3 linked regions of the Xenopus tropicalis genome follow. The protein of the gene in region 1 interacts with the protein of each later gene in a biochemical or structural test. Links are inferred from orthologs where the notes say so. Each region holds a gene or a part of one and is shown on either strand. Other genes may lie near its edges. The genes, in order: dyrk1a, lin52 and dcaf7.

Region 1 (10,912 bases):
TACCCTATTTATTCTTTTGTGCTTTGGTTCTCCTTTAATCATACCCACGAAGGAAAAAAGGCCTGAACAAAGCCATCGACAACAAATTCACAACATAAAATGTTTTAAAGGATAAGTTAACAGAAAAAAAATAAGAGCCAATTAGCGTTCCAATATTTAATTCCATGGACAATGCAATATTACAAGATGTATAGGATCATCGCTAGACTCCTGCAACTATTCCCTCCCGTATTTCTCTCTCAGAGTAAAGAAGCATTTAGGTATTAAAAAATAAATATTTTATTATATATATATATATTTTTTTTTATTTTTTTTTTGTAGGGCATAGCGGGTACTGATATTTAGCCAGCGCTAAACGTGTTCTTGGACTAAGGCAGCGGAACTGAAAATTAGGCATCAGTAGCAATAGCCTTCGTTATCTTCAGATTTACCTTGGGTACCACTTCCCTTCCGGACCTGTGTGTGTCGGAACAAGGGGCGGGGCAAGGGGCGGGGCTGGCTGAGAGCTTTAGGGTTTCGGTGGTGGAAACCGGAACACATATCTACGAGCCACTCTGTAACATGACAGCGTAATAGATCCGGCACGGACATTTCGGTATATGTTGAACTAGAGCACAGCGACAGTTCCAGTTTTGTTGAAGCAATAGTACAGCCAGAATTTTTGTAAAAAACAAAAACAAAACAAACAAAAAAACTGTCCCATTACACCTTGTGCCAAAAAGTGCAGAACTGCTACATTATTGGTTACAGACATCTATGTGCTATAAAAACAGCTTTGGTACAATAAATTATCAAAAAAAAAAAAAAAAAGGAAAATAATTTTTTTTTTGTAAAATTCACAGCATAATTGTGAGGCAAAAAAATAAGCAGTCACATAAAATTCTGCATCTTTTTTCTTTTAAAAATGTTCAAAAGGAACAGAAGACATGTTTGTGCAGAATAGTGGAGATACCACGTGCGGAGAAACGGAGGGGGGGGGGAGCTGAAAATAAAAATAAAAGATATGGGGGGGGGGGGAGAGAAAAGCAAATGAAAGAAATGAAGGGGGCTGAAATAAAAAAATAAAGGATGGGACACAGGTGTAGCTATTTCCATCCAACGCAAACCACTACTACTGTGACCTTTAGCCAATAAGGAAGTCAGCTTTATGACACACACGCAAAGTGACCGGGCAAAAACTCTACAATTAGTGGGTCACACCAGTCTATGTGAAAAGAAAGGCCTCTTGAATGAACCCCATTCTGGATTTTCAGTATGAAGGACCGTCTACGAAAAGCGCGTCCCAAAGTGATTGCATCTGAAATGGCAGGCTCTTCGAACTCAAGAGTCCAAATCCATAAGGCCAAAGGTTATCCCAAAGACCGCCGACTCAGACCTCCCCAAGGAGCGGCCATGTCTGGCCTGTTGATTGCTTCTCAGTGCACCTTAAGATCGAGCTGTCTCCCACAAAAAAACAAACAAAAATAAAACGATAAGATCCATTTTTAACGGCTGCTTTGTTTCCCAGATTCAGGACAGGAGATTCTGATGACCGCCATCTTAGCACGTTGACTGCCATCTTAGCACGTTGACCGCCATCTTAGCACGTTGACCGCCATCTTAGCAAGTTGACTGTGTGTGACACCCGTCCCTTTGACTATGGTTTGTGTGTTTAGGAGGTCGAAGGTTCCTCTCTCTTACAGTACTGCATATCTGTGCCCAAGTTTCGATGGACCATTAAGCCCCCCCGAGGGGACCCAAAGAGGTGCATTTTTTTGTTTGTTTTTGATAATGTTGCTTTTTATCATGTTGGCAACTGACTATGTTCAGTATAACTTACTATGGTTAAAATATATAAATATATATGTATATACAAATACATATATATATCATTTTATAAAATTATTATGATACGAGTGTACAGAGTTTAATGGGTGGGGAAGGGTGGGGCGGGGGTTGGGAAGCAAAAGGGAGAGGAAATTACCTCGGAGCTATCCAATAAGGTGTGTTTGGAAACAGCTCGTTAAAAAAATAAAAATCGTTTCACTTCATTGTCCCTTTGCAATCGTTTTGTTTTTGTTTTTTTTTTTCAAGTTTAAAAAAATAGTCAGCTTTTCCCTGTTGTAGCGGTTTAAGTGTGTTTATCTCCTTCTGATTAAAGCAGCTTTTGCACTTTTTTTTTTGTTTTTGCTTTTGTTTTTTTTTTTTTTTTAGTTTTTTTTTCTTGGAAAAAAAAAAACTTCTAAAAACAAATAAAACAAAAGGAAAAATAAAAAAAAATAAAAAAAAAGAGAGAAAACAAACCCACACACAAAAAAAAAAAAAACCAAACAAACCTAGATTGAATTTAGTCACGAGCTTGCCACAGGACTCTGCTGAACACAAACTCCTGTCATGGGAGAGTCTTCTCGGTCCATCCCTTGCCTCATCGTTAAGTGTCCTTCCGTTACGTAGTGGCCGGGGCCTGTATTTGCAGAATATTGGTAATCTGGATGTCCAGTGATGCCAGTCTCTTGGCGAGGGTTTGAAAAGGCAGTTAAATTAACATCCATAGTTCCATTCTGTCCAAAGTCCAAGGTGTTAGCAGCCACAGGACGATTCTGGTAGGCCTGATTGCCTTGGTTGCCAGTAGAAGAGGAAGATGTTGAGGAAGAAGTAGTTGAGGAAGACAAGGATGTCATGGAGTGGTGGCTGTGACCGACATCCATAGAATCCTGGGTGGAGGAGCTAGTTGATGGAGAATTGTAGATCCTGGTCCTCGTCCTGTTACTCAAGACATGCTGTCCGTGGTGGTGATGATGGTGGTGGTGATGGTGGTGGGAGCCATTCCCATGGTGATGCGGTACATTTTGCTGGGAAGGGGGGACATGAAATGTTGTTTCTTGGACAGGGTGTGTTTCAATGGTGACCTGCGTAGGGGCTTCAGGGACGGTCCAACCAGGAGGAAACTGTTGTCGAACCTAAGGAAGGGAAAAAAAGGTTAAAACACAGATAAATGCACATATACAGCTCCCTACACAGCACAGGAAATAAAGTCATTGTTTTTTTTTCTTGGTTTTATTTTTAAACACTACCTAAGCCTTGGAAATAATGATCTGTATAATATAAAACCTTAAGATTTCCCCCAGTGGTTGGCTGTCTCCTGGGTCTACAGAGAGGAAGTTCATAATAAAGGGTGATTGGCTGGGAAGGCCAAATGGGATCAATGTCAAATGAAAGTGCTTTCAGTGTCTCTGTTCTGTACTGTTTAGTGCTACAAATAACATAAATATTATTATATAAAACTAGAGGGAGAAGAAAACAAGTCCTGCAATAACCCTTCTTTTTGGGCTCTTGTTGAAGATAAAGACTGTTTAGGAAACCATGGTTCTACATCTGCACTTACACAGGTACCTGAGCTTCTTCGGGTCAGTGCCAGAACAGGTCATGCAGTAACTGGAATGGTGACTAAAGCACCGAATATAAAGACACAAAACCCCCAGGGCTGCCATGCAACCACCCCAAAAAGCACCCATTGTTAGTGGCCCTGAGCAAGGATTTGATAAACAGCAATCACACACTTACCAGTGGACTGGCCCATTATCCCTCTGCAGGGACAGTCAATATCTACTAAATCTGAAGTTTTAAATACATGAAAACAACTATGGCTAGTGAGCTTCCCATGTAATTGACCCTGTAGCCCAGCATAATGCTCTGGTTATGACCAACACTAAAGTGCCAAAGGCTGGGGCACAATCATTCTGTCGTTAATGGAGAGGACATTACTAGTGTCATTTTTTTCCACGTGCGGAAATTTTTTGCAACGTGGTCGAAAATTTTTTGTAGAGCACAGAATTTTTACGCAGTGAATTTTGTCGCCTGTTTTGCAAAATAATCCTCCAATGGCGAAACATGGAAATTCACTGCAAATCCATGCCTGACGAATTTCGCCCGTCACTAGACTTAGTACCTAGATGTCAATCCGGTTTGTAAATGCCCTCTGTGCTTTCTAATTTACAATAAAATATATTGGAAATATATATAAAGCTTAAGGGCAGGGGTACACGGGGAGATTAGTTGCCCCATGACAAATCTTTGTTGTCGTGGGCAACTAATCTCCCTGCCATGCCATCTCACCGGCTAGAATGTAAATCGCCCGTGGGGTGGCATACTCGTTGCTACGATGTCTCGCAGTCGCCCATAGTTGCCTTGAGAGGAAACTTCGGCCGACTGCTGGACATTGCAGCAACGCGTATGCCATCCCACCAGCGATTTACATTCTAGCCGGTGATGTATGTATTCTGGGACTGTCCCAAAATATAATGCTTTTTGGACTGAGATACTTGGGACTATGGACTCTTCTCTAGGCCTATTGAACATACAGACCCCCACACTCTGCTTACTGGGCCATACAGAGAGGATAACGCTGAATTCCAGTGACAGACTTTGCCTCCTACAGCTTCTGCACTATGCTAAAAAAGCCATTCTGATGAGCTGGGAAGCAGCGGAGACCCCAACACAGTCCTACAAGCAGCTTGTAAATGTCTCTCCAGCCAGAAGCTTACAAACATAGCCTCAGACTGGCCAGGAAAATCAGGAAAATTTGTGACAAATGGCTGGCAGAGATGTGAGAAGTATCAGTAACTGGGTGTAGTGTAGGAAAGCCCTGGTTATTCGTATCTCTTTCTTCTTCTCTTTTAATTCTCACTTTAAACTCTCTCTTGCGTTCTTCTTGTTATGTGTTGTGTAAACTTAAAACTCAATAAAGAAAAACTTATGGAAAAAAAATTATATATATATATATTTATATAGCACTGCAAGTATTGGCACTCACCAGTCCAAAGGCAATAGCCGGGTGCTAACCCAAGAGATGCATCCACTGTATACAGAAAGCACTCACGGCCTTAATGTCCAAAAAATTGAAATTTTATTTCAACATGCTATCTACGCGTTTCAATCCACAGAAGATCGTCATCCTGATGATGATCCTCTGTGGATTGAAATATGTAGATAGCATGTTGAAATAAAATTTCTTCATTTTTTTGGACATTAAGGCCGTGAGTGCTTTCTGTATACAGTGGATATATATCTATATATATATCCAAAAAAGACCAGCAACACAGAGTTATAGTGCTGGGCGGTATGACCAAAAATTTATATCACGGTATTTTTTTTATTATATCGGTATCACGGTATTTGACGGTATTTTTTTTTCCCCATGCATGATTAGGTGACCACCCCAAACACCCCCCCCAACCCCAAACACCCCCCCCCAACCCCAAACACCCCCCCAACCCCAAACAACCCCCCCAACCCCAAACACCCCCCCCAACCCCAAACACCCCCCCCCCAAACCCCAAACACCCCCCCATCCCCTTCACATAAATATAACTTACTGACCAGGCAGCCGCAGGCACCCCCGACAGCTCACAGAGCCTCCTGACAATTTTTCTTACTATTTCCGGGTTGCGCGCGTGACGTCAGCGCGCACAACCCGGAAATAGTAAGAAAAATTGCCAGGAGGCGCCCACACCGGTATGCCGGTAAGTTAAAAATTTTTATCATTTTTTTTTTTAAAAAAATGGTGTTCGGTATATACCGGTATACCGCCCAGCACTACAGAGTTATATTCCAAAAAGATCAATCGTGTATTAAAAACACATGTTTATACATCACATCGACGTTTCGGTCCTGGTGTGGGACCTTAATCAAGATGTTACACACAATAAAATACACATATAAGTGTAACATCTTGATTAAGGTCCCAGACCAGGACCGAAACGTCGATGTGAGAGATATCTAATACAACTATATGCAGCACCCAACCATGTCGGTGTCAGGACCGAAACTGAATTAGAGTGACTGTCAGTTTTCCTGATATTCTGACAATAAAATAAAGTGCAATAAAACAGGCATTCTGAGGGTACCTGAGGACTGTGCGTCTCACAATCCATAGCCTGAACAGCAGCTGTGAAATGGCCACCACTGTGTCGATGTTGATGAGTAGGGTCAGACCTTGCTCTTCCACTGTTGCTTGTACCAGACGAGCCACCTGATACATAAATATATGTGTGATAGAAATATAAATCAAGACGTCAAAAACGTAGAAAGCAAATCATCACTGGGTTATTATAAAGTCACCTATCTGTACTAATGCAACCTGCAACAATAGTTGCCATCTGTCTAAGCTATACACACTTTTTGTATTTCATAAAATTCCCTACTCCTAGCAACTTTGCAATTAGTCTTTATTATTATTATTTTTTTATTATTATTTGCCTTCCTCTTCTGCAACTTTTAAGCTTTCAAATGGGGGAGGGGGGTTCACAGACCCCTGCAGCTAAAAACTAATTCTCTGTGCACTTACAATTTTATCATTATTGTTACTTTTTATTCCTTATCTTTATATTCTGGCCCTCTCCTATTCATATTCCAGTCTCTCATTCAAACCATGGCCTGGTTGCCAAGGTAAAGAAGACCCTAGCAACCAGACAGCTGCTAAATAACTGAAAAACCACAAAAAAAAAAATTTTTAAAAACCAATTGCAAATTCTCTCAGAATATCAATGTCTATGTAATAGTAAATATAAAGTCGAACAATCCCTTTAAGGCCTGTGTCAAATGCAAGCTAAAACTTGTGCACGGTGGCCGTCAATCAACCCATGAATGATGAGTGTACTTACGCCTGCATTTACTACTTGTCCTGAAGGGCGGCTATGAAGGCATAAGGGCAGGTTAATAGGCCCTGGCATTTCAAGTACACAGAGGCCCAAACAGCCCCCCAGCCCAATAAATAGTGACTGTCTGTGGCACCTTACAGCCCCCCTGGCATTCCCAGTACCCAGAGGCACAAACAGCCCCCCAGCCCAATAAATAGTGACTGTCTGTGGCACCTTACAGCCCCCCTGGCATTCCCAGTACCCAGAGGCACAAACAGCCCCCCAGCCCAATAAATAGTGACTGTCTGTGGCACCTTACAGCCCCCCTGGCATTCCCAGTACCCAGAGGCACAAACAGCCCCCCCAGCCCAATAAATAGTGACTGTCTGTGGCACCTTACAGCCCCCTGGCATTCCCAGTACCCAGAGGCACAAACAGCCCCCCCAGCCCAATAAATAGTGACTGTCTGTGACACCTTACAGCCCCCCTGGCATTCCCAGTACCCAGAGGCACAAACAGCCCCCCCAGCCCAATAAATAGTGACTGTCTGTGACACCTTACAGCAGCCCCTCTGGCATTCCCAGTACCCAGAGGCACAAACAGCCCCCCCAGCCCAATAAATAGTGACTGTCTGTGGCACCTTACAGCCCCCCTGGCATTCCCAGTACCCAGAGGCACAAACAGCCCCCCCAGCCCAATAAATAGTGACTGTCTGTGGCACCTTACAGCAGCCCCTCTGGCATTTGCCTGAACCCACAGATTGCCAGTCCGGATCTCATGTGAATCATGAAACCTCACTGTAAAACATTAGTTCTATATAAATACAAGACAAAGCCTTTAGATTTATAGAGACTTTGTGGAAGGAAATAACAGCATTTAGCAACACAAATTAAACCATACTAAATGAGCGTTAGTAACCTTAAGAATGCACAGTAAGGAGTTTCCTGAGGTGTGGGTGCTACATTTGGGTGCTAGAGAACAAATCCTCATACCCGAGCTAGAAGATGTGCTAGAGGTGGTTCCTGATGACTGGGACTGCTCCATTGCTGGACTCGTTGATACACTGTTACTCGTGTTTGTACCTTCGTCAGCAGTTTTCTTAAAGAAACTATGTTGCAGAGCATAATAGGGTTGGATACGGGTCTTGGCATCATAATCCAACATCCTTAAAATGAGGTCTTTAAACTTCAAGTAGTCCGCTACAGTATGACCTGATTCCCCGCCTCGGCGGCCACCTGGTCCTCCAGTTTCTACTCCAAGTAGGTTGTGAAGTTTTCGGGTTCCCGGTGGTTTGTACTCCTAGAGTAATAACACAGACTCCCGTTAACAACTTGCTGGCACTGGATATACAGGCACAACAGTATTTGTCTATAAACAAAATAAACAAGCAAATAACTATGGGTTGGTTTAAAAATGGTGGTGCAATGTGATAGGGACCTTAGACTGTAAGCTCCTCTGGGGCAGGGACAGATGGGAATGTGATAGGGACCTTAGATTGTAAGCTCCACTGGGGCAGGGACTGATGGGAATGTGATAGGGACCTTAGATTGTAAGCTCCACTGGGGCAGGGACTGATGGGAATGTGATAGGGACCTTAGATTGTAAGCTCCACTGGGGCAGGGACTGATAGGAATGTGATAGGGACCTTAGATTGTAAGCTCCACTGGGGCAGGGACTGATGGGAATGTGATAGGGACCTTAGATTGTAAGCTCCACTGGGGCAGGGACTGATAGGAATGTGATAGGGACCTTAGATTGTAAGCTCACTGGGGCAGGGACTGATGGGAATGTGATAGGGGCCTTAGATTGTAAGCTCACTGGGGCAGGGACTGATGGGAATGTGATAGGGGCCTTAGATTGTAAGCTCACTGGGGCAGGGACTGATGGGAATGTGATAGGGGCCTTAGATTGTAAGCTCACTGGGGCAGGGACTGATGGGAATGTGATAGGAACCTTAGATTGTAAGCTCACTGGGGCAGGGACTGATGGGAATGTGATAGGGACCTTAGCTTGTAAGTTCCACTGGGGCAGGGACTGATGGGAACTGAGTGCTAAGCTGTATACATATAATACAACCCAGTGTATCTAGTGACAGTTTTATACATGTATATTGACTATACAGAAAGAGCAGGGACTGCACTGTATAACCAAATGTGCCTTTTGGGCTTAAACCTCATTAGAAACATGCAAAGCCGTTGATTCCTTTTCCATTCCATAGAATTTAGCAAATTACCTTTTTTCCATCTTTGGTCTTCTTTAAGTTCCAAGTGCCTTCTGGCATCTTCTCAAAGAACTTTCTAGCTTTTGGTGCTTGGTCAAGGATGTGAGCAGGTGGTATTCCTAAAACTTCCACAATTTTACTCATTTGATCAACCTACCAAGCGACAAAAGCAAAGTCAGTCGAGGCAGAACCCACACATGATGAAGTGACCCATTACAATTATGGGGCACCATAAAACAAATATGCCATCATCAAGTTATTTATATTGGGTATCCCATATATGTGACTGTCTGTGGGAAGACCCGAATAGGGCACAGAATTGCAAACTGTGGGGAGGACTAAACTTGGGAGGCAGTAGCCTTATAGGTGGCCATAAAGGCCCAGATTTAGTGGGGACTATTCTAAGCATACTGTAAGCATCTAAACTCATTTGGCTTTTAAAGGAAAACTAAAGCTTAAATAAAGAAGGAAATATTGTACATTATGTTTGGGGGGTTGTGTACCAGCCCCAGGCCCCCACAGCCCTTTAGCAGGGAAGATCTTTGCTCCTTAAGATTGCCCCAGTAGCCCCCCATCTCCTTTTCTGCCGATTCCCTGCCCATACTCTGTGCTGCTGGCACTTACCTGAGCTTAGGGGCCCACTCACTATATACTGTATATATAGAATATAAATGTCACAGTATAACCTGAGCTTAGGGGCCCACTCACTATATACTGTATATATACACTATAAATGTCACAGTATAACCTGAGCTTAGGGGCCCACTCACTATATACTGTATATATAGAATATAAATGTCACAGTATAACCTGAGCTTAGGGGCCCACTCACTATATACTGTATATATACACTATAAATGTCACAGTATAACCTGAGCTTAGGGGCCCACTCACTATATACTGTATATATACAATATAAATGTCACAGTATAACCTGAGCTTAGGGGCCCACTCACTATATACTGTATATATACAATATAAATGTCACAGTATAACCTGAGCTTAGGGACCCACTCACTATATACTGTATATATAGAATATAAATGTCACAGTATAACCTGAGCTTAGGGGCCCACTCACTATATACTGTATATATAGAATATAAATATCACAGTATAACCTGAGCTTAGGGGCCCACTCACTATATACTGTATATACCAAGTATAAATGTCACAATATAAGGCTGATTAGTAATTAATACAGATAATTACTACATGGCAGCTCAGAAACCAGTGCAGCTAGCGTGAGAATGTAATAATCACTGCTGAGCCACTGAGTTTTTCCCCTGCTGGTTGGTACTAAATCAGCCGCTCTAGAGCCAAAATTCGGATTTCCTGAATTGAAATTTCAGCTCTTCTGGTGCAGAGAGTGCTATTGTGCTGTCTGCACTAGCAACGCGGCCCCCTCCAGCGCAAAAAAACTAAATTCAGAGTGGCAAGGTGGGGGGCATTCCCTAGGCCACCTCAGGGAAGTAAGTAATATGTAGCACACCACCTATGGGTGGGCGATATCGGGGGAATTTAGGCTAATTCAATCGTTTGGCCCTGGGGCCAGCTCAATGCCGGACTCTGGGCGCTCCACCCCAACCCTGGATCGTGGGCAAAAGTAAATGGAACGTGACACAGCACACAGGGGTGGGGGGTGCACGCAGTGGGTGGGTATAGGCATGCAGACTTTGCAACTGGGTGAGGGGCCAGTGAGGTGGCAGCCCTTGTCTCAGACACCCCATTCCATAAGTGAGCATGACAGCATAAAAGTGATCTACCAATTTAAATCCATGGCGCATTACAAAAGGAAAATAAAAGTGTTGCTACTGCCTTACCTCATTGGCTCCACTGAAGAGGGGCTCCCCAGTGTGCATTTCTACCAAAATGCAGCCAAGGGACCACATGTCAATTGCAAGGTCATAAGGCATTCCTAGTAAAACCTCAGGAGACCGGTAGAAGCGACTCTGAATATACTGGTATATCTAGGGACAAGAAACAAGGTATAAGCCGATTGGCTTCCGTGGCCTCGGTTTCGTGGGAACAAGAGCCAATCCTTACCCTCTGCCCTAGCTGGCACGAGCTTCCAA
Region 2 (10,912 bases), on another chromosome or scaffold:
ACCATCAGTCTCTTAATCCCAGCCTCCTTTATCCGCGCATATCAACGTAGCCCTGCTTGTAAAATAGCACCTTCATAATATAGTTTCATTCGTCTATTGGGAACACCCATTTATTTTGGGTACCTGGGGATATTCTCTCCCCCACTCACTCATGTCAATGTACTAGCCCACACTCACCCTCACTATTCCTCTGATCCGCATCATGCTTCCTTCAGAATCCCTGAGCTTCTCAGAGACTGAATGACAAGAAGCCACACCTCTACCCCGCCATTGGCTGATGATGCCACGGCCCCTTAAAAAGTGTTTCCTATTGGCCTGCCAGAAATAGTGACCGATTGTGCGCTAACTCAAGGTTTGACCGACTGGTGCCCTACTATGTGTGCCTTGATTGGCTCATATTTGTCACGTGATGACTCTTGGATCTTCACCGCTATTTGCCATTTTTACGATCGACAAAATGTGTAGGAACATGACGCCTTCTTGGTGTCTGGAAAGTGATGTAGCAAAAAGGCAGTGCATCGCACCATGCCTTAATGGTTAAAACATTATTGTACAAGTTAACTTTAGTCTTTAAAAAATAGACGTTTGTGTAAGCTATGGGTGGGTGCAGCAATATGGCGCTTAAGTATAGAGCGTCAAATTGGGTGTACCAAGATGGAATGTTTAAGTCTATTTCTGTCACGTGACAAGTGAGAAAATGGCGGCAGTTACGGATGGTAAGCGGTTGTTTTTAATTTGTAGGTACACTAATGGGCTTAGAGGAAAGTATTCTACATATATGTATCCGATAATTGCTTCTAGCAGCAGGGTAAAGCCGATGTGTGTTCCCGCTGCGCATGGTTACTCTGTCGAGAAAGTACTGGGAGTTTATCATTAAACCTTGAAAATAACAGTGAATGCATTGCGATGTTCTGTGCTGCTCTGGTGATCCCTAGCCATGTCAATAATTAGCCGCAGACAATGAACTGATCCTTCTTTTACTTTTCACATGTAATAAGGCTTCCTATTGACATCAGGTGGAAAGTGTACAAGCCTTCGGCTTCGTCTAGTTTGTAGGAAGGTGTACTTGCACAATTTGGGATGTTGCCAATGTACAGACATTAACCTAAATACTACTACTCATAGACGAATGTAGCATAGTGCACATGCGTAAAGCTGTTAGATCCTAGTGTGGATATAGCTCAGTGATCAAGCTACTAAAGGCAATTAAAGAAAAGAGTGCTTTATTTTAGCTAAACATTATCATAATCACAAACCTAATGTCCCAAAATTATATACGAGATATTCACGCTCATGAAAAAAGTATTATACAGTCTAGCCTAATCCTAATGACCCAAAGTATACTACGTAAACCCAAACTCTTCCTATCAACATACATGTAAAAAATTTGTGTAAAAGCTTTGTGAGTTGAACCCAGAACCCTAACACAGAAGGGCAAGAATTCCGACCACTTTACCACAATGCTACTTGGTTACTCTAGTGTGTGAAAATGTATTCTTGTGAATACACCTTGCCAACAAGAAAAGTTAAAATCTAGCTTGTTTTGTATGAATAGCCTAGATCCTTTTGGTGTAATGTCCTTTTGGTGTAATGCCCAAACAGCCCCCACCTGGCTAATAAATGTCTGGCATCTAACAGCAGCCCATCTGGCATTCCCCTGGATCCACAGATAGCCAGTCTATACCTACAGGTGGGAGTGACTTGAAAATGGTAACAGAAAAAAAGATACAGTAAGAGCAGAAGAAGTAAAACCTTGCAGAAATAAACTCTCCTGCATACAGGTTTAGGAAGAGTGAGGTACTTTATAACAGAACCCTACCAAAATAAGATTTTTTTTATCTTTTAAAAGAATAGCAAGAGTATATGTCCTCTTTATTTTACTTCGTTTGAGCAAAGGTCTATACTGTTTTTGTTACCTCAAATCTATGTGCTGAGATCTTTGTGGGGTATGAGTGAGAGTTTACTTGCAATAGTTAATGGATAACGCTCAATTTAACTTGTTTTTTTCCCTTTGAACGCATTCACAGCTATAGTTTACAAGGGGAATTATACCAGTTTTAACCTGTTGTGTGGCTTTTACGTATTTTTTTTCTCAAATTATACTCTGCAAGTAGTAAGCATGGTTTGCAAGCATGATACCTTCTTAAAACACAATGCTAGCAAAATTCACTGGGGTTGCCAAGTTGTCAGCCACCCCCCATGATTGTAATCATCAACAAGAGAAGTTGTTCACATTGTGCACAGTACAAAACTCACTGAACAATTACTGGACTCTGCTTACCCAGGGCAATAGAGGAGCTTTGGAAAGAGCAGGGAAAAATGGTTATGGCACACTCTGCAGAAAAAATGCAAGCTTTGGGTCTCTGCTCTGTAAATATAATCATGGGGGGATGACTAACAAATTGGAGCCTGCCAATGATTTTAGCTTTTATCATCCTTTAATGAGTGAAATTCATAGAGATTTTCATTTGTACTAATGGATTTGTTCATATGACCCAAACACTTTATTTACTTAGCTGTTAGTACATGCTTTTACATATCACACTGGATGGTTTGTAGCCTAGATCCAACTTTTAAATGGAAAAGAGCTCTGTTTAAAGATGCACTTAATCACAGGCAAGTCTAAAGACTGGAATTCTCCACATTCTGAATTACATCAAATTGACTTTGGTTGCAGCTAAAAGAGTTATATTTAAATAGTGGATTGAGTCCTCCCCTCCCTCATTCACTGACATTTAAGCAGAACTAAATCTTTGTAAAAATGAAACTATTCATTTCAGATTCGATAGCTTGAAAACACCATTTAAAATTTACATCAAAATGGAAAATATTTGCAAAGCTTGGAAAATAAGGAAAGAGATAAGATACATGACATCCTTTATCATTAAAATGGATTCCTACTATACGTAATCCTAGCCATGAAAATAATACTTGGCACAAATTTTTTCTTGAACTCTAGTAACTTTAATATATTAAATATTATTACAATTAGTTTTATGTAAGATTGTAATTGTTTACTTTTCAATGCTTACCTTTTATGATCTCTCTATTTTGAATGAGATTCCACGTTCACCTGTATGTTTTCTTGAATACTAATACAATGATTAAAACAAAAAAATGAACTTTACACTTTTTTCAACACAAGCAAGATAAATAGAATGTATGTATAATATAGTATACTTATGTATTATTATTTAGTTTTTACTTTATCTACCTATTTTAACCGCTATCAACTGAGTTTAAATAGGGCCAATAAGCTTTGTATAAACAAACACCATACTATTTATTGATCTGATTTTGAGCTAGAGGTGACACTGCCCCTTTAAAACCAGTGGGAAGTAAGTAGCTAAGGTCACAAAGTCACAAGATTTCACTTAGTTGACTATTCAAAAATAGTTTTGGCATTTAAAGGAACAGTAACACCAAAAAATGAAAGTGTTTTAAAGTAATTGAAATATAACATACTGTGGCCCTGCACTGGTAAAACTGGGGTGTTTGCTTCAGGAACACTACTATAGTTTATATAAATAAGCTGCTGTGTAGCCATGGGGGCAGCCATTGAAGCTGGAAAAAAGGAGAAAAGGCACAGGGTACATAGCAGATAACAGATAAGACACCATTGTATTCTACAGGGTTTATCTGTTAGCTGCTATATAACCTGTGCCTTTTCTTCTTTTGAATGGCTGCCCCCATGGCTACACACCAGGGTTTATATAAACTCTAGTAGTGTTTCTGAAGCAAACACAAAACTTTTACCAGTCCAGTACATTATAGTTTAATTTCTTTAAAATATATATATTTTTTGGTGTTACTGTTCCTTTAAGCTGTTAATCAGCAAACGTTTTCAAAATGTTTATTCACTTGTTTATGAGTGTACCTAACTACTGAAATTGAATGTTGTGCGGTTTAGATGCAGATCTGGAGACCTCACTACTGAGCTTTGAGAAACTGGATCGAGCATCACCAGACTTGTGGCCTGAGCAGCGTAAGTGATCTCTACTTTGTTCCTTCTACCTTATATAAATCAATTTCAATTTACAAAAAGATTTTCTGAGCAGGTACTCTTATGCCCAGCTATGCTTCCATCATATGGACTGTGAGAAGGGCATTAAGTGCTATTGTACCTATTTGCATGTCTTGAAAAACTCCAAGACTCATGACTCATGCACTGGCAACTAGTACAGTTTCCTAACCTATGAGAAACTCTTGTATCTCACAATTGCAGTTTCATTCTTGATGAATATACTGCACTTGCAGAATTTATTACTGTGTGGATTGTAGCACTGGGATTGAAATACCAAATTATTTCAGTTTCAAAAATAAAATCAATATTCTCACTCACTTTATGTTAGAGGCTGCAGTTCCTAGTGACAGGTAGATTCCATTTAACCAAATGACGGGCTGCACAGGCACATCAACAGCTGGTAAATATGGGGGGAAGAATACACCCTATGTGTAATAGACAGGATAATAGACAATAATAGGCTGAACTTTCATCTTTGCCAGCTATGTAACTTGTTCTCCTCGTTTCTTACAGTCCCAGGAGTTGCAGAGTTTGCTGCTTCTTTTAAAAGTGTATGTATAACTTAATTCCTCTATTAGCTTATATACAGTATGGCTTTGTTTTACAATGTATCTTGAAATATGTGAAATATTGTTGGTGTTACTACTTTTTATTATATAATTTTTCATTGCATCTGCCCTCTGTTTTTTTTCTGCTTTTCCAAAGAAGCCAATGTTAGTTTTTTTAAAGAAGCCCTTTTAGTTAACTTAATATTGACTTTTACTTTCTGTGCATGATTTTTGTACAAAACGTAGCACTAAGATAGAGAAATAAAGAGAATTGTTTTAAAATGCAAAATTAATTTAGGGACTGGTCCATTGAGTCAAACAGGAGGCAGCAAGCATCAACCAAATAACTTTAGTAAGAATGTTAAAATAATGGGCAGAGGCATGCATAAAGATGGCAAAAACCCTAATACAAAACTTCGCCACCTAAAAGCAGTCGGGGCAGAAGTCAGTGGGAGCTCTCCTAGGCAAACTGTAACAATCTTTATTTAATTCATGTTTTTAATAGTTTTGCTGTTTTTTCTGTTTCCGAGGATTCTAGTATTCTTATTCAAATTTTTTTGTGGTTTTTCATTTGTGTTTTTTATATTAGGCTTTTTTATAAAGGACTTGGCATTAGTGGTTTTAGTGAAAATGAGGTGTTTTTTTTTGTGGTTTCAAAAATCCTTTGAGTGTTTTTTTCAAATAATGGGCTATTTTGTTATTTATTTTCTATAAAGAGCAATTGACTCCATGGCATTTTTCAGTAGGTAGCATGATTTCCAGCATGAAACGTGCGCTAAAACACAAGGAGAACAGGGTGTACCAGGGGCAAAAAGTAAATGTGTGGTTGGAGAGTACAATAAATTAAAAAAAAAATAAAAATAATGCATGTGATACTATTGCTGATAAAAACAACTTAACAGACAAGTTTTGGAAAACTTCAGGTATGCCTAGGGAAGAAACACCTGAATCCAGGGTCGGACTACATGTGCCTTCACCCGAGCGTATGCCCGTGTGACATTAGCCTTAGGCTTCTGTTTGAAACCATTTAACAGTTCCTCTGGTCTGCTAATGTGTTTCTTATTTTTCTTTAATTAATCATAAACTCCTGTGTAGTGAACACCAAGTAAGTTATTTAGTTTTATAGAAACATTACTAAGACATAGTGTGGTAGGTATTTTGTTAAATGTGATATAAAAAACAATATAACATATGTTCAGTAGTGCTAATATACTCACAGCCTAAAAGCCATCAAAATAGAGCAATGTTAGGGGGCCATTTACTAATGGTTTGATTTTTTTTTTCCCAACTGTTTTTAGTGCTAAAAGTCGCAGAAAAAAAGCCGTGACTGTTTTTGAGATTTACTATGCGACAAAACGGTTACAAATCCAACAATGGCAGATATCTCCTCCCTTCCCTGGAAACTCCTTTATTTTGCATTTTTGCCGCTGTTTTTTTGCGTGACAATCTGAAAAAGTCAAAATGTTTTGGTGCAACAATTTGAAAAAGTCGCAGTTTCTCAACTTTTCTGCAACTTTCCCACCCGTATTTCTTCTGTTCAGACTCTTTGGTAAATGTCAGACGTTCGTGGAAATTAGTTTATTCGAATTTCTAAAAAGTAAATAATGTAAGTTAAGTTTAGTTAATTTGCCTAAAGTGAAGTATTAGTAACTGCATACTGTAAGAGTAAAAGAAGGTGTATGTAAAGCATCAATTGCATAGAAAATAAGATTTTGGAGGATTTTTCCAACATAATATCTAAAGTTTCTATCATCCCATTGTTGTTTATTAGCCAATCAAAAGCACACCTCGTAAATGGATGGCAGAACTTGAGAATGATGACATAGATATGCTGAAAGGTAAGGATGGAAAACTGCACCTTTTTTCCCTTTACAGTAATATTTCTCAAGTGCTCTATATGTTCAAAGATCCATAACAAATCGGTTATGCTTGGACAGGGTTGAAGGGGGGCTGAAATGGAAATTAAACCTACTCTGTGTAGTTCCTGCAAGGTAGATAATTAGATTAACACAGCACAGATAATCCCCTTGCATAATAGACTTGTGTTTATCTGTGTACTGGTAATTTAGTTATCTACCTTACAAGGACTAAACATGGAGAAGATTCAATTTCCCTTTTAGCTCAAGAAATAACAAAAAATATACTTTTTGTTTAATTAAACAAAAAACTATGTTCAACATAAGCCAGATTCGTTGCTATCATGTTGAAAAGGGTGCATGCTGCTCTTTTTAAAAGAGCTGAAATTTTGTTCCAGGGCAGTTTTTTGTCTCCCCTGATAGTGTTACCTGATGGAAGTTTTATATCTTGCTTCATGGCAGAAGTGTACCTGGTGTATAGGGCTTTTGACTTAAATAAGGGACTAAAATTTATGGAGATGCTTAGTTAAAAATGTATTGCAGTTAAGTTATTTACAGGCCATTAGTCTCTGTAACCTATTCTGACAACTTTTAGATAAGGGCCAAGTTTGATTCATCGGTCTGTAACAGAACCACAACAATGTTAATTTGCTGTAGACCAGACATTAACATTTAGGATTTGGTATTTTACATCCTGAAGCTTCTCTAACATATAGTAGTTATGACGACTGACAAATAATATTTGTAATGTTTCAGTGTATTTTGGCTTTATCCCTACCTCTTCCCAAACTGGCCAGTACAAGCTTTGATTGATTAATATAATTCTTTAGCTGTCTTCTAGGCAGGTGACCCATTAATTTACTAACTGTGTATATGTGTAGATATGTACGATCTTCATTGCTTTCTTTGGTTGTACTCCCTCATACTGCAGTTTCCCTTATCTGCTTTGTTTTCCTGTATGTCTGCACTTTTGCTTCCTTTATTTTTGGTTGACTAGCGATCTGCATTATATACATTTCCCTGATCATTGATATTGTTGTTATCCATATTGTTACATTGCACAAGCTGTGTTTATTTCTGTTCTATCACCTTTTACTATTTTGAAACTTTTTCCTTTATGTTCTTTCTACCAGTACCAGCACAGTTCATGTACATTGGTTACCGATACTTTTTTTGGCGCCCTTTTTGTTGTGGTGGGGTATTTATGGGGGGTGAGGTTTGCACTGTCTTTTGGTTTGTCCCTGAGGAAGAGCACAGTTGGTGCTCGAAACGTTGGATCGTTTTCATTAAAAAAAATTTTGTTTTCTAACAAAGTCCCTGCGTGTGCGGCTCATTGTCTTGCTATATACATGGTTTTGGCAAGCACCTGGGGCATTTGATTACTATTAGGGTGTGCTCTGTTCTTTTCTGTGTATATATATATATATATATATATATATATAGCCGCACACACACACATATCTGCTACTTTTTGCTATTGTGTAAATCCTGTGAGTGCCGTCACTTGTTGCATTTGTATTTTATTGATTTGCACTGGCACCCGGGTCGCAACCCCTATTGTATGGTGTGCTGCCTATATCTGGACTTATAATATAGATATCAGTTAGTTTGATAGAAAACTGCGCAATGTAATTTTCCTGCTGGTACTCTCCTTAAAGGAGAAAGAAAGGCAAAGTCACTTGCCAAAATGTTAGGCACCCCCAAGTGACTTAAATCGCCTACCTTTTAGGCGCCCCTGTTTGGAGAGAACAGCACCAGCCCGGGTAGCTGCGATCGCTTCCTCCTTCCTGGTTCCGTGCGTGCGCATGCGCAGTAGAGTGAAAAGCCGAACTTTAACAGAAAAGTCGGCTTTTCACTCTACTGCGCATTTGCCCACTGCTTCCATTTTAGGAAAAGGAACCAGGAAGGAGGAAGCGCTCCGCTACAGGTACCCCGGGCAGGTGCTGTTTTCTCCGAACAGGGGCACCAGCCCGGGGTACAAGGTAAGCGGTTAAAGTCACTTGAGGGTGCCTAATATTTTGGCACCCCTAAGTGACTTTTCCTTCTCCTTTAAAGGATAAGGTGGTCTTGAATCGGCGTTTCACCTGTAAGCTACCTTTTAGTATGTGTACAGAATGTCCGATTCCTAGCAACTTTGCAATTGGTCTTTATAAATATATAGTTTATGAAATATATGCCTTCCTCTTTTGCCTCTTTTTAGTTTTCAAATGGGGGCTCTCTGACACTGGCAGCCAAAAATTATTGCTCTTTGAGGTTACAGTTTTATTGATTATCTCATATTTGGACCCTTATGTATTCATATTCCAGTCTCTCCTTCAAATAACTGTTTGGTTTCTAAGGCAAATAAGACCCTAGCAACCAGCTGCCAATATGCCAAACTGAAGAGCTGCTGAACAAAAATCTAAATAACTGTAAAATCACTAAAAATAAAAGATGAAGACCAGTTGCAAATTGTCTCAAATATCAAGGTCTACATCATACTAAAAGTTAGTGTAACCCCTATTTGCTGTGAACAGGCCAAAGCACGGCTAGTATAGGTTTAGAGCATGGGGTACATGCGTCTCAATCCTTCAGGATGGGCCTTCGCTAAATGGAAATGACCAGTGGAGCTAGGGTGTAGTGCAGGGGTGGGCAAACTTTTTGGCTCACGGGCCACATTTACTTACCCCCGGGCCAGACCGGGCCAGGGAAGGCAGGGCCAGGCCAGCGTTACGCCCCCTTAGTCTGTTTAATTCCGGCCCGCCAATGACACCAAGTCTCGCGTGATGAGACTTGGCATCGTCGGTGGGCCGGATTAAAAAGGCCAAGGGGCCGGACGTGGCCCGTGGGCCGTAGTTTACCCACCCCTGGTGTAGTGCAACTACAACTCACTATAGCTGTGTGCAGTGCAAATTAGCAAAGATGGACGCCAGAAGATTCTTGCAGTTGAAACAATAGAACTTGTTTTTTTGTCAGAGACAATCAATGCGCAGGGTTAAGCAATATACTCTCCTACAGATGTTATATGATAGTAGTACTCTAAGGACAGCAAAGAGAGGATGTACACCGGTTTATCCCACCTCCTTTAGAGTCTGGGCTGGGTAAATGCACCTGGTCAGCTTGAGTCCTACAGCCGACTGTGGATCAGGGTTTAGATACTGCCTGTCTCCTATGTCTTAATCGTGGCCCTATGCTGAGGCAACATTGCCAGTATGGAAGGGTACTTCCAGCTACTTTCCTTGGTGGAGCCGAAACGGCTCTTGCTTCCTTCCCTCTATATCTCACTTTCCTAGAGAGTGCTCGACGAGAGTAACTATCTAACTGGTCCTCATTCATGTGGTCCCTGTCCCCGACTTCACTAGAGTAGGTGATGACTCTAGGGTAAAGTATGGCTTTACAGGGACCTTGTTGATCCCAGGCTCAGTGGACCTTCACCTGAGACACAAAGGCAGCCAAAGAGGAAGACCCACCCCTTTGCTACACACCATATTGGAGTGCAAAGGGTGGAGTCAACCTGTACACCAATAAGGCACAAGTGCAAAGGATAAACTAAATACATAGGTTTTTGCCCAGTAACAGCATAAACTAAGGAAGTTTTAGGGTTTAAAGCCATAGGGGCATATTAACCTTATGGGTCCAAAAGTGGACTGCCCCATTAAATTCTTTATATGTAGACAATAGTATTCTAAGCAGGGCCATATTTACCACTGGGAAGCCCACCTTTATGGTAAATTGAAAAGAATCACCTAAAATGTTCCCCCAGCTCACTGCCAGATACTTGCTGATAAATCCAGTGCTTGATGGGTGGATGTGTTTCTCCTGCGATTGGCACGTACTCCCATGACACATCCACCAATCTTAGGAGAAGGGAGCAGGCTAAGGGCCGGTGCCTAGGGCAGCCCTGTTTTTTAAGAGATACTATAATTGAGCTTCATTTTTAATTTTTTTTAGCGTTTTATATTTTGTGTTCTGTAGCTGCAAGTGGAAATTTCAACTGCTGATTTCTAGCAACCCTAGTGGTTGAAAGGCAGACTAGAATATGAATAGGTGGGACCTCTAACGAAAATTAAGAAATACAAATGAATAATAATACATTTGTAGACTGCAGAGAATCAGTTTCTCCAAATGCACGGCCAAGCCGATTCCAAATCCTTTTAAATCACATGTTTACGAAATTTGCAGGGGGTTTTTGTTTTCATGCACAGATTTTTGCCCCCTGGATTAAACCTATTTGCATATGCATATTAGGATTCGGTTCAGTATTCGTTAAATTCCTTCACAAGGATGGTTTTTTTTTTTTTTGACTGTTTGACTGCATTTTATTGTTATTTGTATTTTTCTTCTTATTTTTATTTTCACGCCCTCTGCTTTTCATTTTCCTTTTTCATTTCAAAACTGCTATAATAACTGTTGTAACAATCCCCTTGCAACTAGATAGTTTAAATTCCATGACTGAGAGCTGTTTAGCAAAAATTAAATAATTAAAATACACAAAAAACAAACAC
Region 3 (9,695 bases), on another chromosome or scaffold:
TTTCACTGTATTAACCAATCTTTCATTCAGGAATTGATTTTTCTTTCTTTTTTTTTTTTCTTTTTTTAGGTACAGCTAGTAGGACTGGATGAAGAGAGCTCTGAATTCATTTGCCGAAACACATTTGATCACCCGTATCCTACAACAAAGCTTATGTGGATCCCCGACACTAAAGGAGTATATCCAGATCTGTTAGCCACCAGCGGGGATTACCTCCGTGTCTGGAGGGTAAGTACGAAGGCAGCGACTACAAGCCCAAAATATGAATAATGATTGATAATGGCACCCAACAGAGTATTAGCGCTTGAGATTAGAGTGTTGATAAGTGTCATGTTGCTTATTCTGTTTCTCTCTTTATCAAAGGTTGGAGAGACGGAGACCCGTCTGGAGTGTTTGCTAAACAACAACAAGAACTCTGATTTCTGTGCCCCCCTCACCTCATTTGATTGGAATGAAGTAGACCCCAACCTGCTGGGTAAGGAACAAGCAAGGCCTGCTTTTTCACAGTTCTCTGTTCCTTGTAGATCCAAGGTTATTTAATGCATTTTCATAAAACATCACCCAAACTAACACTGAGAGCAAGCCTCTGAGCTTATAAACCAACTTGATACAGTAACTCTATAACTTCTTTAAGCTGACCTTACTTAATATGCCCACCTCCAGGTGGGCGATTTCAGACTGATCCTAGGGCCAAACGATCAGATCATAAAAATGGGGATACAGGCCATTGGGATGGGATTTTTAAACCCCAGATTTCATCCAGATATTGGTTTGGTAGGCCCATTGGAGGGCCCTAAAATAAACAGGTGATAAGCTGCTGACTTGGGCTGAATGAGCAGCTAAAATCTGTCCTCTGGTCCATATGGTTATCTTTAGTTTTCATTTGCCTTTCGAGCAAACACATTTATGTACATGCATTGTACTCTCTTTTAGGTGGATATATAAACCAATTCAGTGCAGTTACTCTATACCTCTTACTTTTTAGAACACTCTCTTTAGTCTTCACCTAACCCCTAATACACGCTTCAATTGCCTCCCTAGCAAGCCGATATTAACTACATGCAGTGTTCAAGTGGACATATAAACCAGCTTGATAACAATATACTGTCCCTGTCTGGAACAAATCAGACCATCATATATCGGCCATTTCCCTCTTGTGCTAGGACTTTCTATTGTTTGTATTGTGGGTATAGGAATGTTCATTGGACTGCAGAATAACATTATTTTCTTTAACCTTCAGGAACCTCAAGTATTGATACAACATGCACAATCTGGGGTTTGGAGACTGGACAGGTCCTTGGCAGGGTTAATCTGGTGTCTGGACATGTGAAAACGCAGCTCATTGCCCATGACAAAGAGGTGAGAAGCCTTTGGTTTATCGGTAGGAAATGTGATATGGGAAGGTATGTACAGACTATCCCATGAGTGAGTTCCAGTCACACTTCTCTGAGGCTCTCTATAGTTTGCTGGGTTGCTTTGTGCTGCATGCCCATATTGTGGCTGCGGGGGGATTGCAGTTGTGGGTAAAGAGACACCTGACTTAACGGGTCTGGGTTGCTAGAGCCTTTAGATTTGTTCAGAGAGTAGTAATCGGTTTGAAGACCTTGTACAGGTCTAGGCCCAACCCATTGCTCTTGGGGTATCTGTAAGGGCAAGCACAGAGACGTGTTATTCAGGCCTTTACCGTGCTCCCTATTCCCAAGGGGGGTTGTTGGATGGTTAGTGCCTTTCTCTCAGCGGGAGGTGGTGGCACCTCCTTCTCCTTCATCTGCCTCTGCCGGAGAATTTAAAAAAAATGTGTGGTGTCGCCATCTTGTATAGCAGGAGAAAAGTCCAGATATATGGAGATTGTGATGCCATTGTATAGAATCGGGCCTTTGAGCCTTGCTACGCTCAGAGCTGCGACCCGTTCCCTAAAGTTGAGCAGTTTGAGTCGGAATGGTGGTCTTGGTGGTGCTCCCGGTGGGGGTGGCCTGGGAGGAACTTGATGGGCTCTTTTCACCACGAATAGTGAGGAGAATGTATCTGCTTCCACTACATCCTATAGCCATTTGCAAATAAATGCCTCTGGCTGCTGTCCCTCCACCCTTTCGGGAGCCCCACTATTCTGATCTTGCTCATCCTAAGTCTATTCTCCAGGTCTTTGTTTTGTCCATTAGTGCTTAGATTTGCTGTTACTGATGGCATGGTGTTGTGTATGGGGTTAATTGTATCCTCGGGAGACCTGAGTTTCCACAGCAGCAGTGCGGCCTCTCATGTATTAGAGGTCCGGGCGCAGGAGGGACAAGTTGATCTTAATCCCTTCTATTTGTGAGGTAGTGGCTGCTCTAGTTTCTTTTATAGCTTCCAATAAGTCCCCCATTGTGGGCTCGCTAGGCTCTTGGTTGGGAGGGGGGCCTGGTGGTTCTGGCGTTAATGTCTGGCAGAAGCTTTTGTCCAGCGGGAACCTGGCTGGGTGAGTGAGGGCGTAGCCTCTGATCTCATACATGGAAAATGTTTGCCCATGTTGGCTTTTAGTACTGCATTCCAGTGGTTGCTGGCAAACTGTGAGTGAGTAGTAAATGGAGTGTGGAGTGAAGAGAACTGCCAAAGAGATCAATCGATACACAGAGCTCTCACTTTATGCATCTGGTTTGGTCGCCATCTTGGACACACCCAAGTGGTGTCATTTTTACAGCACCAATTGGAGATGGGAATAAATTACATTAGAGCATTATTCAGGCAGCAAAAGATGGGGCATTAATAAATTAAACTAGGAAAGGTTCAGAGGAAGTCCTAAATGTCTTGTCATTGTTTTCCAGTGTACACGGTGATGGGTCCTGCAGGTTGTGCAGTTATAGTTACACAGGGTTGAAAAAATCCAAAGTCCGTCAAGTTCAACCCTTCCAACTGAACCCAGTGCAGTATGAATGAGTTAGGTTTTTTTAACCCATATGAATATAAAAGTATTTTCTTTCCCCTCCCCTGTGTGTGACAGGTCTATGACATTGCATTCAGCCGTGCAGGAGGGGGCAGAGACATGTTTGCCTCTGTGGGGGCAGATGGCTCTGTGCGAATGTTTGACTTGCGCCACCTGGAGCACAGTACAATCATCTATGAAGACCCCCAACATCATCCATTACTTCGACTGTGTTGGAACAAGCAGGATCCGAACTATCTGGCAACCATGGCCATGGATGGAATGGAGGTAATATTAATGATTCTGTTAAACACAGATTGGCACAGAGAGCTGCTGCATCGTTATATTTGACCAGCAGCCTGGTGATACGTACAGTCAATCTGGTGTGTGCCATTGTATTACATAAAGGTGTAAAGGAGCAGTACAGGGTGGGGTATGCCCAGAGGGCATTTTCTGTTCTTACAAATGCATATCATATTTTTATTCTTTTTTTTTTTTTTTTTTAGGTGGTAATCTTGGATGTACGAGTACCCTGTACCCCAGTAGCCAGACTTAACAACCACCGTGCTTGTGTCAATGGCATTGCATGGGCACCCCATTCATCTTGCCACATCTGTACTGCAGGTGAGCATCTTGCTTAGGCTTTACTGCATATATTACCCAAGTGTTGGTAGGGGTATATAATGTTGCCCTATAGCACTTTGCAGTGCACACACAGGCCTGGAATTGTGCAAAACCAGGACCCTAGAGGGCAAAGCTTAAGGAGAGACAATATATGGCCACTAATTGTTATTACTGCCAGTCTCTGGCTTAGTGGCTTAGTGTGGCACAAATTATAAATCCAGCCCTGAATTTAAAAGTGCCCTGGCCACCAATATATTGTCCCAGGTGTCCCCAATGTGAGTTTGATTATTGTTATTTTATGTGCCAGTAATAGTTATAAATTAGCTGTAGAGTTAAAGTGACTGGTGTCCTGTTACTTATGTGATATCCAGTCATGTGACAGACCCCAGTGGCACCCTAACTAACACTAATGGGCCTTGTTCCCTTTGCAGCGGATGATCACCAGGCCCTAATCTGGGATATTCAGCAGATGCCAAGAGCGATTGAGGATCCCATATTGGCATACACAGCAGAGGGAGAAATCAACAATGTGCAGTGGGCAAGCACCCAGCCTGACTGGATTGCCATTTGTTACAACAACTGCCTGGAGATCCTGCGAGTGTAACTGTATTTATTCCCTACCCTTCTAGCCCACTCTTCCTACCCCTTTCCTACAGGATCTTCTGCTCCTCAAGGCCTCCGGTTTTTATACATCTGAACTTATTGGCTCACCTTCCTGTCTGTGATGTAAGCCAGAAGATCCTCATTATCCTCCAGTACCTTATTGGCTGTAACTACTAAACATTATTGTCCATCCAGATAAACAGAGTCCTCTGCCTGTTTTTACAGTATGTGATTCAACTCTTTTACATGAAGGAATTAGTGCTGCTTAGTAAATCGGGCCCTGGTTTATAATTGACAACCCAAGAAAAGGGGTTCCCTTCCTTAGTCAGTTCCCTGTACTTTGCCCCGAGTGTATTTCAGTTGTTGGGGGATGGGAGGGGGGCCGGGTTGTGGGTGGGATGGTAACTATTGTACTGTAATATTACCTGTGTATACTATCCTCATATATGTGTGTATTTGTAGTGCTGACATGCTGTTTCTATATATTGTCTGATATTAAAGGAGTATCAGGTTCCCTACATTTGATTGGCAGCAATGATTTAACATATTTCCTTTTAGCTGTAGAAATATTAACCCTTATTGTGCACGGCTGGCCATGTTTTTCAGTGCCCTTTGTGCAGTTGTTGGCTTTTTATTTTTACTCCTCTTAATTCACAGACTAGATTTGAAATCTGTACTCCTCCTTGGGCTTGTGAGGCTTCCAGTTTATGGTTAGCTTGATTAGTACTTAGACTGATTAATCACAATTGGCTAACTCATAGGCATTTAGGGTCTGCAGGTATGAGTTTACTAGAGTGCTCTTTTTATGTTCCAAAGCACCAATGTTGAACGCAGTTAAAATAGGGCCAGAACCGTTTAACTTTACATTTCCAGTGATATATCAGTAGTGACTTTGGCATTGCTTACATACATACATACATACATACATACATACATACATACATACATACAACAAGTTCAACTCTGTGTCCCGGTAAAAGCTGCATGATTTAGAGAAAGGTGAAAAAACATCCAAAGCCATCTCTTATTTAATAGATTTCTGACGGACTCCAAGGGGCAATCAGACCAGTCCCTGGATTAACTTTGTACGAAGTTCATTTCAGTGTCTCTGTGTTTTACCCATTGTTAAAAGGCCACCCATCCCTATCAGATGTATCCTTAAGGAGAGGATTCCACAACTTCACATCTTTCACTGTAGCAAACCCTTTTTGGAGTTTTAGGATGGAACCTCCTTTTTCTTAAACATAGTGGATCCCTTGTGCCTTCTGAAAGGACCTTACTCTACTTCAATTATGTTGGTTTAGGAGTCATAAAGCCCAAACCCACTGGAGCAAAGTGATTTTGTAGTGATATTTGCTATCCAATAGATATGTAGTACAGTGAAGCTACTCCCATGGTACAATTTCCTCATTTAATATTAATGCCCCAGGTTGTCACTAGGTGGCACCGTGGGACAGTTTTGACCCTGTGCTGTTGTGCATTTTGCTAGACAGATGCCTGGGACTAGTTGTGCTTTCTCTGCATGCAGGCCTGGACTGGGATTCAGAATAGGCCCTGGAATTTCAAGTACACAGAGACCCAAACAGCCCCACCAGCCCAATAAATAGTGACCGTCTATGGCATCTTACAGCAGCCCCTCTGGCATTTGCCAGAACCCACATATTGCTTCTATATGAACATCTAAGGCTTAAAGCAATATAAATGTTTATGCAAGTTTCTTCGGATCTGGAGCAGGCTGGAAAATGAATTTAATGGTATCATTTTATGGGGCCATTATATGTATGTATGTATGTAAATGGTAGTGTGTTGGGGGGATCCTTAATGGAGAAGAATCTGCGGGTTTTGTAGATAACAAGTTGTCTAATTCCAGGCAGTGTCATTCTGTGGCTACTAAAGCAAATAAAGTGCTGTCTTGTATAAAAAAGGGCATTGACTCAAGAGATAAAAACATAATTTTGCCCCTTTATAGGTCCCTGGTAAGGCCTCACCTTGAGTATGCAGTGCAGTTTTGGGCTCCAGTCCTTAAGAAGGATATTAATGAGCTGGAGAGAGTGCAGAGACTGCAACTAAACTGGTTAAGGGGATGGAAGATTTAAGCTATGAGGTGAGACTGTCGAGGTTGGGGTTGTTTTCTCTGAAAAAAAAAAAAAAAAAAAAAAGGCTCTTGCGAGGGGACATGATTATTGTGATACTAATATCTACAGCTAGTATTGATATTGGTATATATAGTTTGTGTATGTGAGTGTATAGATAGGTCAGTATAGGTTGTGTGTGCTGGGTTTACTTGGTAGAGTTGAGATTGATGGACTGTGGTCTTTTTTTCAACCCTATGTAACTATATACACTGTACTGGTCCAAACAATGTGTGAGGAATAGGGCCGCCATCAGGGAGCAGTAGAGGGGCCCAAAAAGACATGATCTGTTGGGTGTGCAAGGGGCAGAGTTTGGATGGAGTATTGGTATAATATGATGTAGTGGAGCAAATCAGGGGGGTGACTGTTGGGGGGGGGGGGGGCACCCTTTCTACCAGCTCACTGGTGGGCTAATAATTGAGGCTGCCTTGGGGGACATGAGCGCTATATGGGACACCATGAATAGTGATGGCAGACCTGCAGAGGAATATAGCTTCATTGTACATGTAAGGACAGCTAGAATCATCTCTTGCTGAAAGACAGTGGGACCTTTTGCACGGCTGAAACAGCAGGATGCTAGGGCAAACAAAAGAACAGGCAGTTAGTTATATATTAAAGGAACAGTAACACTAAAAAATAAAAATGTTTTAAAATAATTAAAATATAATGTGCTGTTGCCCTGCACTGGTAAAAGTTGTGTTTTTGCTTCAGAAAGTCTACTGTAGTTAATAGAAATAGCTGTTGTGTAGCCCTGGGGGCAGCCATTTAAATTAAAAAAAGGAGAAAAGGCACAGGGTACATAAGAAGATAACAGATAAACTGTGTAGAATACAATGGGAATCTATGCTACTTATCTGTTATCTGCTTAGTAACCTGTGCCTTTTCTCCTTTTTTCAATTTAAATGGCTGCCCCCATGGCTACACAGCAGCTTATTATATAAACTGTAGTAGTGTTTATGAAGTAAACACACAACTTTTACCAGTGCAGGGCAATAGTACAAAATATATTAATTATTTGTATACACTTTCATTTTTTGGTGTTACTGTTCCTTTAAGCTCCTAATATTTCTATGAGACAAGTAGAAATGGTGAATAAAGGAGGAAAGTGGCTGCTGGCTTGCCCTGCTTGCATATCTGGAAGGTAGAAGAGGCACCTCCCCCTGCGCACACTTTGGCATATGGGTGGGGACATGTAGTTCAGCAGTAGCTAAAGCATCTCAAAATATGGATACTCTCTGACTTTTGATCCCAGCTGTGGGGCCCAGTGCTATTTTTATCTTTCTAACTATTGCGCCTTCCACGCAGGAGAAGAAATATGTGAGCTGAAATTCTCCTTTATAAAAATACAAGTTGTGCGGCAGCGGGGAACCTAAGGAGCATGAATTCATTATTCCATCCACCACTCCGCTTAAAGGACACGTAAAGCCGACATTTGCCTACAGTGTATCAGTTGGGCACGTCTCCCCCACCCAAATGGCATCATTTGTACTGCATATATCCCCTCCGTTTGCCAGCACCATCACATTTTCCAAAAGCAAATAGCAGCTTTCACCCAGTGGACATTTTTCCTCTGATACATAATCTGCAAACCGCATAAACACACACAGACCCTTATTCAGAATACATTTCATCAAGAATACAGGCTCCCACAGGCAGAACTGTCTGATAAAAGTTCTGCTTTGTTTGAGCTCAGCTCAGGAGAGAAAGTTAGGAGAAAAAAATTGAAGCAGACAGCTAGAGCTGAGTTTCTATGGGAACCAGCAGTGCCATCTCTTTACTGGCTGCTAGACTGGAGGGCGTGTTTAGTAATCTGAGTTTAGAACAGCTGAGCATGCCCACAAGCCAGAAGTCAAAGAGGGGGCTGAGTGGGTTACAGGAGAAGAAGGAAATCTAAATGGTTAAGAAGATGCTGCAGCCTTACTATTAACCTCTGCACAACCAGAGTGGCAGGTATTGAAAGATTTCAAAGAGGCTGTTCACTGATTACATTTTTGTGTGTGGCCTTTAAAGATTTTAATACAAGTACAATGTGCTTGATATAAAAGGTACTGAGGCTTTTGCTAATGGTTCTCAGCCAACCTGCGAGGACAAGGAGTTGGTGATGGTGCTTCCCATTTTGCTCTTCACTGTCTGTCTGTCTGTCTGTCTGTCTGTTTGTCTATCCTTTCCTTCCTCTCAGCTTGTTGGCAGTTCAGCCATGTCCTTTCTCAGTAACCCTGTTGCATGAGTCCAGAATATAACAGTAAAATCTGTTGCATTAGTCCAATATATAACAGTAAAGTCTGTTGCATTAGTCCAATATATAACAGTAAAGCCTGTTGCATGAGTCCAGAATATAATACTGGCAACAGGGTCAGGCTGGGGTGTGCAAGGCCCACTGGGGCTTCTACCTCTGGTGCCGCCGACCACTTACCCACTGCACCTTATTGGGGGAGGAGGGCAGGTGGGGATCAGGTCTGGGTTTTCAGGGCCCAGTCCAACCCTGACTGGCAATGTGGATGGGATTGTTTGCCATCTGCAATCCCCCACTAAACGCAGTGACTGCTCATTTGAGGAAATGATTAAGCGACTTAAAAATAATTTTGCACCCGCGGCATCTGGAACTGTTAAGTGGTATGTGAGAAGGTGGGGTGGACTATGATCAACATTTTTCTGTAATGGATCTAGCATTTAAAAATAAAACCACAAGAGGGCACCCTAATACCGTGGTGTGCCAAACGCTAATCTTAATCATCATTTATTTATATAGTGTTTTTACAGAGTAAATAAACTATTTCACTTATGAAATATATATCTACCTGTGAAGTTGTTTCTTACTGATATTAAATTCCTGAAGGGGCAGATACAGTGCTGTTTAGCTGTTTAGAGCTAGAAAAAAATAAAGAGAGTCCAGAGGAAACAGCAGGCTGGGTAGCTTAAAAGCAAGGGGAAACGGTGGAAGAGGAGAGGTCATACAAATGGAAAAACACCAGATAAATGGCCAGTAGAGTAATAAAATTGAAGGCAGAGATAATAAACCAATGGGGCTCATAATAGAATAAATAGAGCAGAAGACACATGAATAGATAGAGTGTGAGAGGAGAACACAATTGGATAAAGGACCAGAAGTAAAAACTTTTATAAAGAAACAGGAGCAAGACTCAAAGAAAGCATAAGGAAAGCAAGATAGCGGTTCTATTAAGATAGTCCTATCACATTTCTGCATACTGTTGAAAAAGACGATGGGAATAACACACAAACTTGCAGACAGTGCCCTGGCTGGAATCAAACCCCAACCCCACCATTGTGCCACCATGCTGTCCTGTACTGACAGCGTTGGACTGGGCCTCCTAGAGCCTACCTGAGAGCCCACTCTCTCAGTACCTGCAAAAGGTATTGACATTTTTGCGCTGGCCGACCAAGAAATCTCAGTGGGCCTTGCTCCAGGTGGGCCCCTG

The links.
Region 2: of the proteins of dyrk1a (region 1) and lin52, one has a biochemical effect on the other in vitro, tested with the Homo sapiens proteins (3 studies listed by BioGRID). The link is inferred for Xenopus tropicalis from reciprocal best matches to the Homo sapiens genes DYRK1A and LIN52.
Region 3: the proteins of dyrk1a (region 1) and dcaf7 form a complex in vitro, tested with the Homo sapiens proteins (2 studies listed by BioGRID). The link is inferred for Xenopus tropicalis from reciprocal best matches to the Homo sapiens genes DYRK1A and DCAF7.

What each region holds. Positions count from the first base shown.
Region 1 is NC_030678.2:12,493,698-12,504,609, forward strand, and holds the end of dyrk1a (dual specificity tyrosine-phosphorylation-regulated kinase 1A), read right to left. Parts: coding exon 10,884-10,912; intron 10,808-10,883; coding exon 10,661-10,807; intron 8,992-10,660; coding exon 8,851-8,991; intron 7,917-8,850; coding exon 7,610-7,916; intron 6,011-7,609; coding exon 5,886-6,010; intron 2,940-5,885; coding exon 2,331-2,939; 3' UTR 142-2,330; downstream 1-141. UniProt on the Homo sapiens protein: Dual-specificity kinase which possesses both serine/threonine and tyrosine kinase activities. Exhibits a substrate preference for proline at position P+1 and arginine at position P-3.
Region 2 is NC_030684.2:81,969,921-81,980,832, forward strand, and holds the start of lin52 (protein lin-52 homolog), read left to right. Parts: upstream 1-682; 5' UTR 683-697; coding exon 698-716; intron 717-3,910; coding exon 3,911-3,985; intron 3,986-4,537; coding exon 4,538-4,575; intron 4,576-6,343; coding exon 6,344-6,410; intron 6,411-10,912. Other genes in the region: aldh6a1 (methylmalonate-semialdehyde dehydrogenase [acylating], mitochondrial), read right to left, coding at 178-204.
Region 3 is NC_030686.2:16,428,144-16,437,838, reverse strand, and holds the end of dcaf7 (DDB1- and CUL4-associated factor 7), read left to right. Parts: intron 1-69; coding exon 70-228; intron 229-363; coding exon 364-475; intron 476-1,240; coding exon 1,241-1,359; intron 1,360-2,977; coding exon 2,978-3,187; intron 3,188-3,405; coding exon 3,406-3,523; intron 3,524-3,954; coding exon 3,955-4,127; 3' UTR 4,128-4,644; downstream 4,645-9,695. UniProt on the Homo sapiens protein: Involved in craniofacial development. Acts upstream of the EDN1 pathway and is required for formation of the upper jaw equivalent, the palatoquadrate. The activity required for EDN1 pathway function differs between the first and second arches.